Drosophila melanogaster: one gene and its partner. The protein of the gene in region 2 interacts with the protein of the main gene of each other region in a biochemical or structural test. Each region holds a gene or a part of one and is shown on either strand. Other genes may lie near its edges.

The links. Proteins that work in one complex are often made in the same cells at the same time.
Region 1: the proteins of Dap160 (region 2) and shi form a complex in vitro, tested with the Drosophila melanogaster proteins (2 studies listed by BioGRID, with this or other methods).

Annotation. Positions count from the first base shown.
Region 1 is NC_004354.4:15,890,267-15,895,209, reverse strand, and holds the start of shi (shibire), read right to left. Parts: upstream 3,011-4,943; 5' UTR 2,959-3,010; exon of another isoform or gene 2,629-2,958; intron 2,383-2,628; 5' UTR 2,206-2,382; coding exon 2,060-2,205; intron 518-2,059; coding exon 444-517; intron 376-443; coding exon 1-375. Other genes in the region: CG15916 (uncharacterized protein), read right to left, coding at 3,723-4,538. UniProt on the Drosophila melanogaster protein: Microtubule-associated force-producing protein which is involved in the production of microtubule bundles and which is able to bind and hydrolyze GTP. Implicated in endocytic protein sorting.
Region 2 is NT_033779.5:21,139,318-21,144,149, forward strand, and holds the start of Dap160 (dynamin associated protein 160), read right to left. Parts: upstream 3,031-4,832; 5' UTR 2,922-3,030; intron 2,696-2,921; 5' UTR 2,472-2,695; coding exon 2,308-2,471; intron 2,236-2,307; coding exon 1,861-2,235; intron 1,692-1,860; coding exon 1,252-1,691; intron 1,174-1,251; coding exon of another isoform or gene 1,162-1,173; coding exon 900-1,161; intron 840-899; coding exon 692-839; intron 626-691; coding exon 359-625; intron 286-358; coding exon 1-285. Other genes in the region: pths (porthos), read left to right, coding at 3,989-4,186, 4,247-4,505, 4,695-4,832.

The DNA.
Region 1 (4,943 bases), on a different chromosome or scaffold from region 2:
TAACGCCAATGGTTCGCACACCCTGTGGATCCACCTCCTTGGCCAGCTTGAGGGCATCCGAATTGGCCAGATCCGTATTGGCCGGGGTCACAGCCAAAATTAAACAAGTCTCTTTGCGAATAAATTGGAATATCATCTGCTTAATTTGCTGCTCAATATCCACCGGTTGATCGCCAATGGCCACCTTTGTCAGGCCTGGCAAATCGATCAGGGTTAAATTGAGTACGTGCGGCGAGTAGACGCGCAAATTAATTGGAATGTTTGAAATGCCTTTGTTACTACCGGTCACACGATCCGTTTCATCTTCGATTTCTTTTCTGATCTCATCGAAGCTGGAAAACTTCTTGCCTTTAATGTGAAGGAACTCGCCATATTCTGCAATAAATATCAATGTTAGCATTAGAAGATAGCTTCTCTTTAATCATATCAAATGCTCAACTTACCGGTAACTCCATTGATCAGTTGCAAGATTAGTGGTCTCCGAGTTACGATACCAGAGCCGCGCGGCAAGAAATCTCTGTAAAATGGGGAAAACGTTTTGTATTTAATAATGGAATCATAGAAGTCTTTGGTTTTTGGATTGTGGAGCCTGTTCATCTAACAATATTACTACTGGGCTTAAGAAGTATGTAGAAAGCATTAAGCCTAGTATCAAAACATTTTGAAATTGCATCGAATAATGAGTATTTGAGTTGCCAATACTAAAAACTTAATGGAAATTTAACTTATGACTTGCAGCTAGTGTTTAAATTTCCAAGTGAGAACTTCAGGACTCCAAAAGTGTTGGGCATTGTTTAATACCACTGAGTACTTAAAGTAAAGCTATTTGTTAGCTAGGCTAATAAATCAAATGGTAAATGGGTCATTTTGAACACTCTGGTCACCTACATCCTGTTCGCACTGACCAGAGTTAGAAGAAGCCTTCATTTTCCATTGACATTAAGACTTTGGCCTGCCGTGGCCGTGGGTCTCGCTGCCTCTCTCGCTTCCTCCGATGGCTCAGTGGTGTCAGGTGGGCGGGGGGCGGGGTAACCACCCTAATTGACACACATACATACATTCATACATACATATAAAGCACGGCGCATGCGAAATCTAACTGGACTATTTTGAACATAGTGGACTTATGTAAGCACAAACTTTACATGGCTCAATGCAGTTTGTAAATACATGAATGGGCATATTGATTAATGTTCTTTTTCAGCGCACCCCCCCCCCCCCTTATTTGCAAGCTATGAAAAATAAATAAATCGACTCTAAAGGAGGTCAAACTTTTACAAATATATTCGAAAGTAAACATATAGAATGTGAGTTACTCTACTCAATCGTTGGGCAAGAGTGGGGAAAAACTTAAATCGCCGACACACTATCATTTTGGCCTTATCTGCATTTTTTTGGGGCGTAAGCCATTGTTTTCTTTATATGTTTGTATTTAGAGTGGACACTAACAAAGAAAAATGAGAGACAGCGCAGGCTTATAGATACAAACACACAAGAAATCGCATTGATACATACAATTTAGATTTCTGTTTAACAAAATTCAAAATACGTATACGTAGATGTTCTACAATTCGTTTTGTGAATATAGTTTGCAGAGCTGCGGGGCTTTTGGATTTTCAACAGCTTTGTGCAGGTGAAAGATAAAATTCTTATTATCATAATTAAGTTAAGACCACTGATATGGTTTGGTCATTATGAGCAAGTACACTTGTTTCGTAGACACCAATTATTGATTGTTAATAAACAACCAAAAAAAAAAAAAATAATAATAATGCCTGAAAGCGAGTGCTATCAGCGATTACTCATAGTTTTTCAGTAACATTTAATTGGGCATTCCACGAAACGCAGACATAATAGAAAGAATAGCGCTACTTTTCGCTGAGCACTGGCGTGCAGAAAAATCGATTCGCTGCATGCCAAAGAGGGGTCTCTTCAGGTCCATTATCAATCACAATATATGTAGGCTAGATATTTGGGGTGCTGATAGGGTGATATGGTATGATAGTATGATCCCATATGAGAGGATAATATGCTGATAAGGCGTGCGGGGGATACTCACTTGCCCACAAAGTTCTCCAAAACGGAACTCTTGCCAGCTGACTGGCCACCGACCACCGCGATCTGCGGCAGATCCAGTTGCATGTGGACGCCGAGCGATGTGAACGCATCTTGCAGCTTGTTAACAATTGTAATTAAACTATCCATTGCGGCGAGGTCCGATTTCCCTCACAATTAGATTAGATTAGATATCAGATCAGATCAGATCGAACTGCGATCCCAACTCGTCCGGATGTTTGTGTTTTTACTGCTCAGCTCCCGGGTCTTTTTTTTTTCTATGCTGTTTCCTTTAATCGCTGGCTTTACTTCACTGCACACACTCCTCTGCAAAATACAATTGCTGCATTATAAATACTTTCATGCGTTCCATCACTTTTCTTTTCGTTTGTATAGATAACACAAAAAAAAAATTGACAAAATTTGTGTGCGGCGGTGGGGGTGGTGGTTAATAACAAATATGCGTAAATCGTGGGGGAATGGGGAAAATTGCAAACAGAAATCGTTATTGGAGAGCACTCATGAGTTACTCATTCTCCCACACGATTAACCAACCCGATATATTGTATGTACCACCACAATAACCTTTCTTGCTTCTTCGGATTATAATGGCGATGTAGCGAAACTTATTGGAATCGGAATTGGAATCGCGAAGAAGGTAAAGACGGGTATGATTGTTGGGTTTTGCGAGCAAAAGTGTTTATCGACATTTACACGAAAATAATTTGTATATATACTCCCAAACGAATTTATCATCGACTTTTCCAATTTGTCACTTATTTCTCAGGCGTAACTGTGTTGTGTTAGTGTAGATGTCATGTTTATCGCCACAAAGAGCGCACTGCGATTTGGGCTTTGGCTTGGTCTTTTAAACAAATATTCTTCTTATTGTGCAAAACTGACAACTATCACCACACTCCGCTTCCAAATCGTTTCAATGGATTTTTTCGACTAAAACTAGAGATGCAAGAAAGTAATCAATCTGTACCCGATAAGCTGGTCTGGTCTGATTTTTTTTGGTATAATTGATAGGGCTGGGTGAATCACTCGCGATACATCGATATATCGAATAGTTTCCGTATGCCGAAGCTAAGTGTTGGTTTCGATAACAAGTCCAGTGCTTTATCCGACATCGATATCAATTTAAGCGCAAGGTCGCCTACTATCGCAACTATCAAAAACAGCTGATTTGATTACATTAACTTACAAGTAATTATCTATCTATTTATTAAATTAAATGCACATCTACAATATGCATATCCTGAAGGGAATATATAACCAATACTAAAAGCTTATAAAACTATTCATTTTATGCGCATGTCCGGCTTTTCTGCGTTTTTGCTTTATATCGATAACAGATACAGATGCAGTGCGCAAGCTTTAAAAGCATAATAACATAATCGAGTATGGTAATGATTTGACCTTTGACATTCAATTTTAAGCCGTTAAAGCTTTTTTTTAGAAACGCAATCGATACTCTATTTTAAAACCACTCAACATGATGAACTAGTTGGGATAAAAGTAGCCAACATTTCAAACTTATTGGAAAATGATTAAACGTTTACAGACCCTACCCCTATTTTCAACTTTAGAACCCAATTTACATTGGATTGAATAACACTTTAATAATTAACATTATGTACATAAGTCGAGGGATTTAACAAACGTTAGGTTTTCGCAATATTTTGTCTATGATTAACCCAGGCATCTTTGGACTTGCGCATCTTGCCGAGAATCTTGTCCATAACTAAGCTATGGTTAAAACTGAGGAAATCCTGTCGCATCTCCGGCCATTCCTCATCCGCAGCCGTCTGACAACTCTGTGCGTCGCTTTCTTCAACTTCCGCATTTGAACTAGAGTAACTGTGCTGAAGATCGATTTTGGACAGAACCTCGTGGACCTGATGGAGACCAGTGCTCGTTTTGTCCCGGACAAACTTGATCTTTGGCACTTCGCCCATCAGATGGAGCTGCGATAGCTCGTGCTGCAGTTTGCCGCTCATGCGATTCAATGTGTTCTCGAGCTCTTGGTTCTCCCCGCCATCCTTGCCCATCCAATAGACATTGATGCGGGAGAAGTCGCTGGTGATCTTGACATAGGAAATCTGCACTCCGTGTCCCACGATGGAATCGGCAACTGCGCCGGTGGCCAGAATATCAGTGATGTTCGTCATGAACAACTTGTTCAGAACAGACATGCGTCGATTGTTGTGGCTGCAAGTTGTCTTCGAGTGTGGGGTTCCAAACTTTAAGGCGTGCAGCGACTTTTGATTGCCTGATGTTCCTGCATCGGGCGATGGATACCAATGGCTTTTGCTGCCTTTAAGCCGATTTCCAAACAACGAGCCAAATATTTTTCCCTGTCGCGTTACGTTGTCTTTGCTCGACCTTTTGGAGCTCTTGTTTCGCGAAAGTGCCAATTGGCAGGCGTTGTTAAGAACGGAGTGTCCATTTTGTAGCCTTAAAACACGAATGCTTAACATTTAGTCTAGTTGCCTTAAATATATTTGCTAGCTTAGATAAAATAGAATGCAATACAAAATATAATGTGGAATAACATGAGTGAGACCAGCCACTTGCGTTTTTAAAATGCGTTAGAGATGGACGATAATTTCGAGCACTCTGGACCACTTTAATTTGGGGGATAGCTTATTTGCACTTCATTTAACTTCATATCTAAGAATTCACAGAATAAAAGTTGATTTTCGACAGTTGCTTGCAGAGTAACATGCCATATAACAGGCAAGTGTTTAAATAACCAAGTTTGCTCATTTTTATTTAATAATTTAAATTGCATTTTAGTTGTTGTCTTTTCCGTGTTTCAGATTATAAAAATATTAACATATATTCTATTAATTTGGAATAACATCGGAAAAAATCGAAAATAT
Region 2 (4,832 bases):
GTAGGGATCGGTGACAGTCGTACCCGTCTCCTCCCAAGCACTGGAAGAGCCTGTGTCCCAGGCCGACGATACACTAGTTTCGTTCTTTCGATTGTACTTCAATTCCAGCACCGAGGTGCGCTGCACATCGTATTCCTTGTACAGATCCTCGCACTTTGTGATTAGAGCGGAGAGCTCGGCCTTGAGCTCAGACATCTGTACATCATTAGTGTTGATGTCCTCCTTCTTTGACTCAATCTCTTTACTGATATTCTCGACTTTATCCTTTATTTGGTTAATAATTAACTGTTGAAAAAGGTAAATAGTATTTTAGAGAATCCGTTGAATACTAAAACTTTACGTATATGCCAAAGCTCACCTGCTTGTGGGCGAATGCGGCATTCAGTTGCTCCTGCTGCGCATTCTCCCCTCCCAAGGCAGCCCCGCTGGCCTTGCTCTTGGCCTCCCACTTGGCCCTCTCTTGGGTGAGCTGAAGCAGTTTAGCGTTCTGTTCCTTAATCCGCGCTTTCAGCTGCGACATTTCGGACATGGAAGTGTCGCGCTGGGTGCGCATTCCGTCGATAACGGTCTTTACGTTTGTCACGCCGGCACGAGTGTCGCAAATCCTCTGCGAAAGCTCCTTGATCTGTAATTAAGCCGAGTTAGTTAGATAGGCCAGCCATATAGATTAGTTGTACTTTAAGAACATTACTTTTTCATTCAGTGTGCTGAGCTCCACATTAAGCTGGGTGTTGTGTGCCTTCTGCTTTAGAACACGTTCTTGTTCCCTCTCCTTCTGTGCGTTCATTTCGGCAATTCTAGCCTGCTCCCATTCCTGCTGGCGCTGCTTCTCAAGCTCCCTGATACAATAGAAATTGTATACATTGTTTTGTCGCTCAAAGCAAGATAAAAGTCCTTACTTTCTGGCCGCCTCCTTAGCCTCCAGTTCCCTCTTGCGCTGCTCCTCCTTCTCCATCTCAATCTCTCGCTGGCGTTGGAGCTGTCGCTCTAGTTCCTCCTGCTGCTTACGCTCGGCCTCCAAACGAGCCTTTTCACGCTTATCAGCCTCTTCACGCTCCTTTCGCTCTCTCTCTTCCCGCTCCTTGCGCTGCTGGTCCTCCATAATTTTGCGCCTACGATCCAGCTCTGCTTGACCCTTAACATAATTCTCCTTTCGCTTGTCTTCGAAGGAAGCTGGTGAACGCGAAATCACAAGTGTTAATATATGGAATATATTCACATGTTTGGCAACGGAGTTAATTAAGCACTTACTTTGTCCAGGTAGTCCGGCTGTTGGGTCAGCATCCACGACTCCCACTCCGCTTTGGGATGAAACAGATGCGTGTCGGGAGGCCGGCTGTGAGCCAGGACGGGATACCACCCCTGAGACCGATCCCGGTCGCGATTTTATTTTGCGCAAGTTGGGCGGTACCCATTCCTGGGGCAAGGTAACCGGAATTTTCTCACCAGCCATGGCCTTCTCGCATAGGAACATGGCAAGAATAAACTCGTCGCAGTTCAGCCGTCCATCGCCGTCGATGTCGGACAGCGTCCAGATTTGGGCCAGCGTGACCTGGGGTAACTTGCTCTGTACGAGAACGCCGCGTGCCTGGGATCCAGTTAAGTAACCAGATCGGGTGCGATCATTAGCATTGAACACCTGCGTGTATTTACGCTTTTGGGCAGCTTGAACGGCCCATTCTCCTTGGTTGCTAAAAGGATAGAAGTTGATTGAGGAGTTAAGAACAGATACGATATTATATATATGTTTTTGCTAATATTTCAATAACTAAGAATATTTGAAATTTAATTAATTAAATTATCTCTTCTTTGCTACATTAATAATATTAAATCATTAATTCGATTCTAAGTGATGCTTACACAGACTCGATCGATGGCGCTCGCTCTGAGATAGACGTGTGGCGACTAGGTGGATTGCTGGTGGGGGGTGTGGGGCCAGACGGCACTGAGACTCCAGGCGGTGAAATGACAGTAGCCACAGCCACCGGTGGAGCCACAACGGGAACAACTGGAGCTACTGCCGGAACTATTCCCTTGAGTGGATCCAAAGGGCTCAAGGAGCTTGTGGAGCCACGTGGCGTCATCGAGGGGACATCGCCGGTAAGAGACGACAGCAGGCTGGGAGGAAGAACCTTGGGAACGTCCATGCCGCGCAACTTGAGGTTGATAAGCTTGCAGGCTATGCTGAACTCATTGATGTTCATCTTGCCGTCGGAATCAGTGTCCGCCAGAGCCCTGGAGATAAGAAAATGAGTAAGAATTAACACTCTTATCGGTGGATGATTCATGGGGGCGTAATATACATACCATATTTGGCCCAGGATCAGGGGCGGCAGCTGGGACTGCAGGAAGAACCCTTTGGCCTGGGCGCCGGTAACGAATCCTGCCTGCGGCTGGAGTGCCCTAAACTGTTCCTGGTACTTCAAACGCTCCCTCGGGGTCACAGCCCACGCATCCACCGCCGAGTTCATTTTGGGCAAACACTTTATCCTAGTTTCCACGGAAAGCTCTTCCTCTTTATCGTCCTTTTTCCGTATGCGTGTGTATTAGTGCGCTCTCTTCGGCTACTTTTGAGTACACATCAAATACAAACTCTTTCGCTCCGCACTCTTTTCGCCGCTCTCTTTACTACGTCTATCGCCTATTCAGTATCCACCACCCCCACAAATTTTCACAATGGATTTTTATGGTTTACCTATAAAGCATTTCCAAAAATATTAAGCGATCTCAATGGACAGGTTGTAAAGATAGATTGCCCCCTTTACTCGCTTTCTGAAGGTTTTAGTTTCTCTTTAGTAGGCGTTTTCACTTGTCAACCGCATAGCCACGAATTAACTGATAAGTAATGATGTGGTATGGTCCCCGCCAACGCACACGTTATTCTCTTATATATCCCTCTTAACTGTAATTTTGTTGCTTACTTTTCATCGGAACAAGAAAATTTTGTATTTGCGTAAATTTTAATCAATATTTTATATGATAGGATCCTATATCGACGAACGATAGGCTCCGATAGGTACGGACTAATAATCGAAGGAGGGTGACCGTCGCTTGTTTCTGTGATTATAGCAAGCAAGTGTTGAAAAGTACGGTGACCTTAAGTTGGATGTGACTATTCTGCAACGTTTTTGTTTTTAGCCGCTAACGGATTTTTAAATAAATGAAACAACTACTGACTATGAGTAATATATTAATTATATTACTTCTACAGTGAACCTCATAAAAATTATGTCGGCAGTATGATGCATTTAACACAATACGAAAATGTATACCTAACCAAAACATCAACAGATCGCAATAAACAAAATCGAAGATTAAAATTCGAATATCCAAAATTATAAGAAAATGTTAAGTACAAGTCAGTTAAATTATTTCAACTATTTTTTTCTTTTATTGTCTTTAATATTTCTATACAATTAAAAATGACAATTATTCAGAAATCTTTTGTTCCGGATTTAACGGAATTGTTAATAATAGCATCAATAACATTTGTGTATGAAAATGTCAAACAGTTTTTATTCGTTGACAGTTCATGACAGACAACCCTCTAATTGGCGTTTCATTAATTTAAAATTGCGCGATGGAAAAAGATGTATACCAAATTTGTATTCACCATCTATTTTCAAACATTGTTATATTAACTGAAATGACAAAATCACAATATTAAACAATTTTCTAACAAATTACGATTTTATACAAATGTGAATATATTTCCGAAACAAACTATTTGCACTATAACTAAGTCCTGTAATTAAGATCATGGTTCAGTATGAATGAGTTACAAATTTTATTAAGTGTGCATGTGATATATCGCACATTAGCTATCGAAAGTTATCATGAATCTGCACTGTTTTAAAGACGCAACTATATCGATAATATCGCAAATAGTTCTATTTCTATTTTACCGCCTCTAATTCTTTTATTTCGACCACGTGCTGCTATTGGTAATGTCCGTACCGTGAAATTTTTCTGAAACTCATGTAACAAAATGTCGGAAACTTCAGAGGACGAACAGACGCAGCTACAAACGAGTGACGAAGAGGAGGATCTAGGTAGCGAGGAGGAGCAGGAAGATGAAGATAACAATCATAAGGAAGGGGACAGCGAGGCGGCACTAAGTGGTGAAGATGATAAAGGCTCCGAGGACGACGCAGCCGAGGAACAGAAGCTAACCTGGAAAGATCTCGTATGAGCCCCACTATTAATTTAAATTAAAATTTAATCGAATGGCCATATTTCTTCAAAGGGTCTCAATGAGGCTTTGTGTCAAGCATGTGACGAATTGAAGTGGAAGGCGCCTTCGAAGATCCAACGTGAGGCCATTCCGGTCGCCTTACAGGGCAAGGATGTAATTGGCCTAGCGGAGACCGGTTCCGGCAAGACGGGCGCCTTCGCTCTGCCAATTTTACACGCCCTTCTCGAGAATCCGCAGCGGTATTTTGCCCTCGTGCTAACCCCCACGAGGGAACTGGCATTTCAAATTGGCGAGCAGTTTGAAGCCCTTGGTGAGTTTTCGCATAGTTTATGTGCTTTTAATTCGCAGTGATGTTAAACCTGTTTTGATTTTGTGTATCAACGAAAATATGAAATTATAATTTTCTTATTCGTCACTACCTCTGAGTAAAAAAACCTTCCCATTTATCGTATTCTTGAATTTCCTTCTGCCAAACTTATGCTAGCTCTGTTTTTTTCAGGTAGCGGGATTGGCATAAAGTGTTGCGTGGTAGTCGGCGGCATGGACATGGTAGCCCAGGGTCTTCAACTGGCCAAGAAGCCGCATATTATAATTGCCACACCGGGTCGCTTGGTTGATCATCTAGAAAACATGAAAG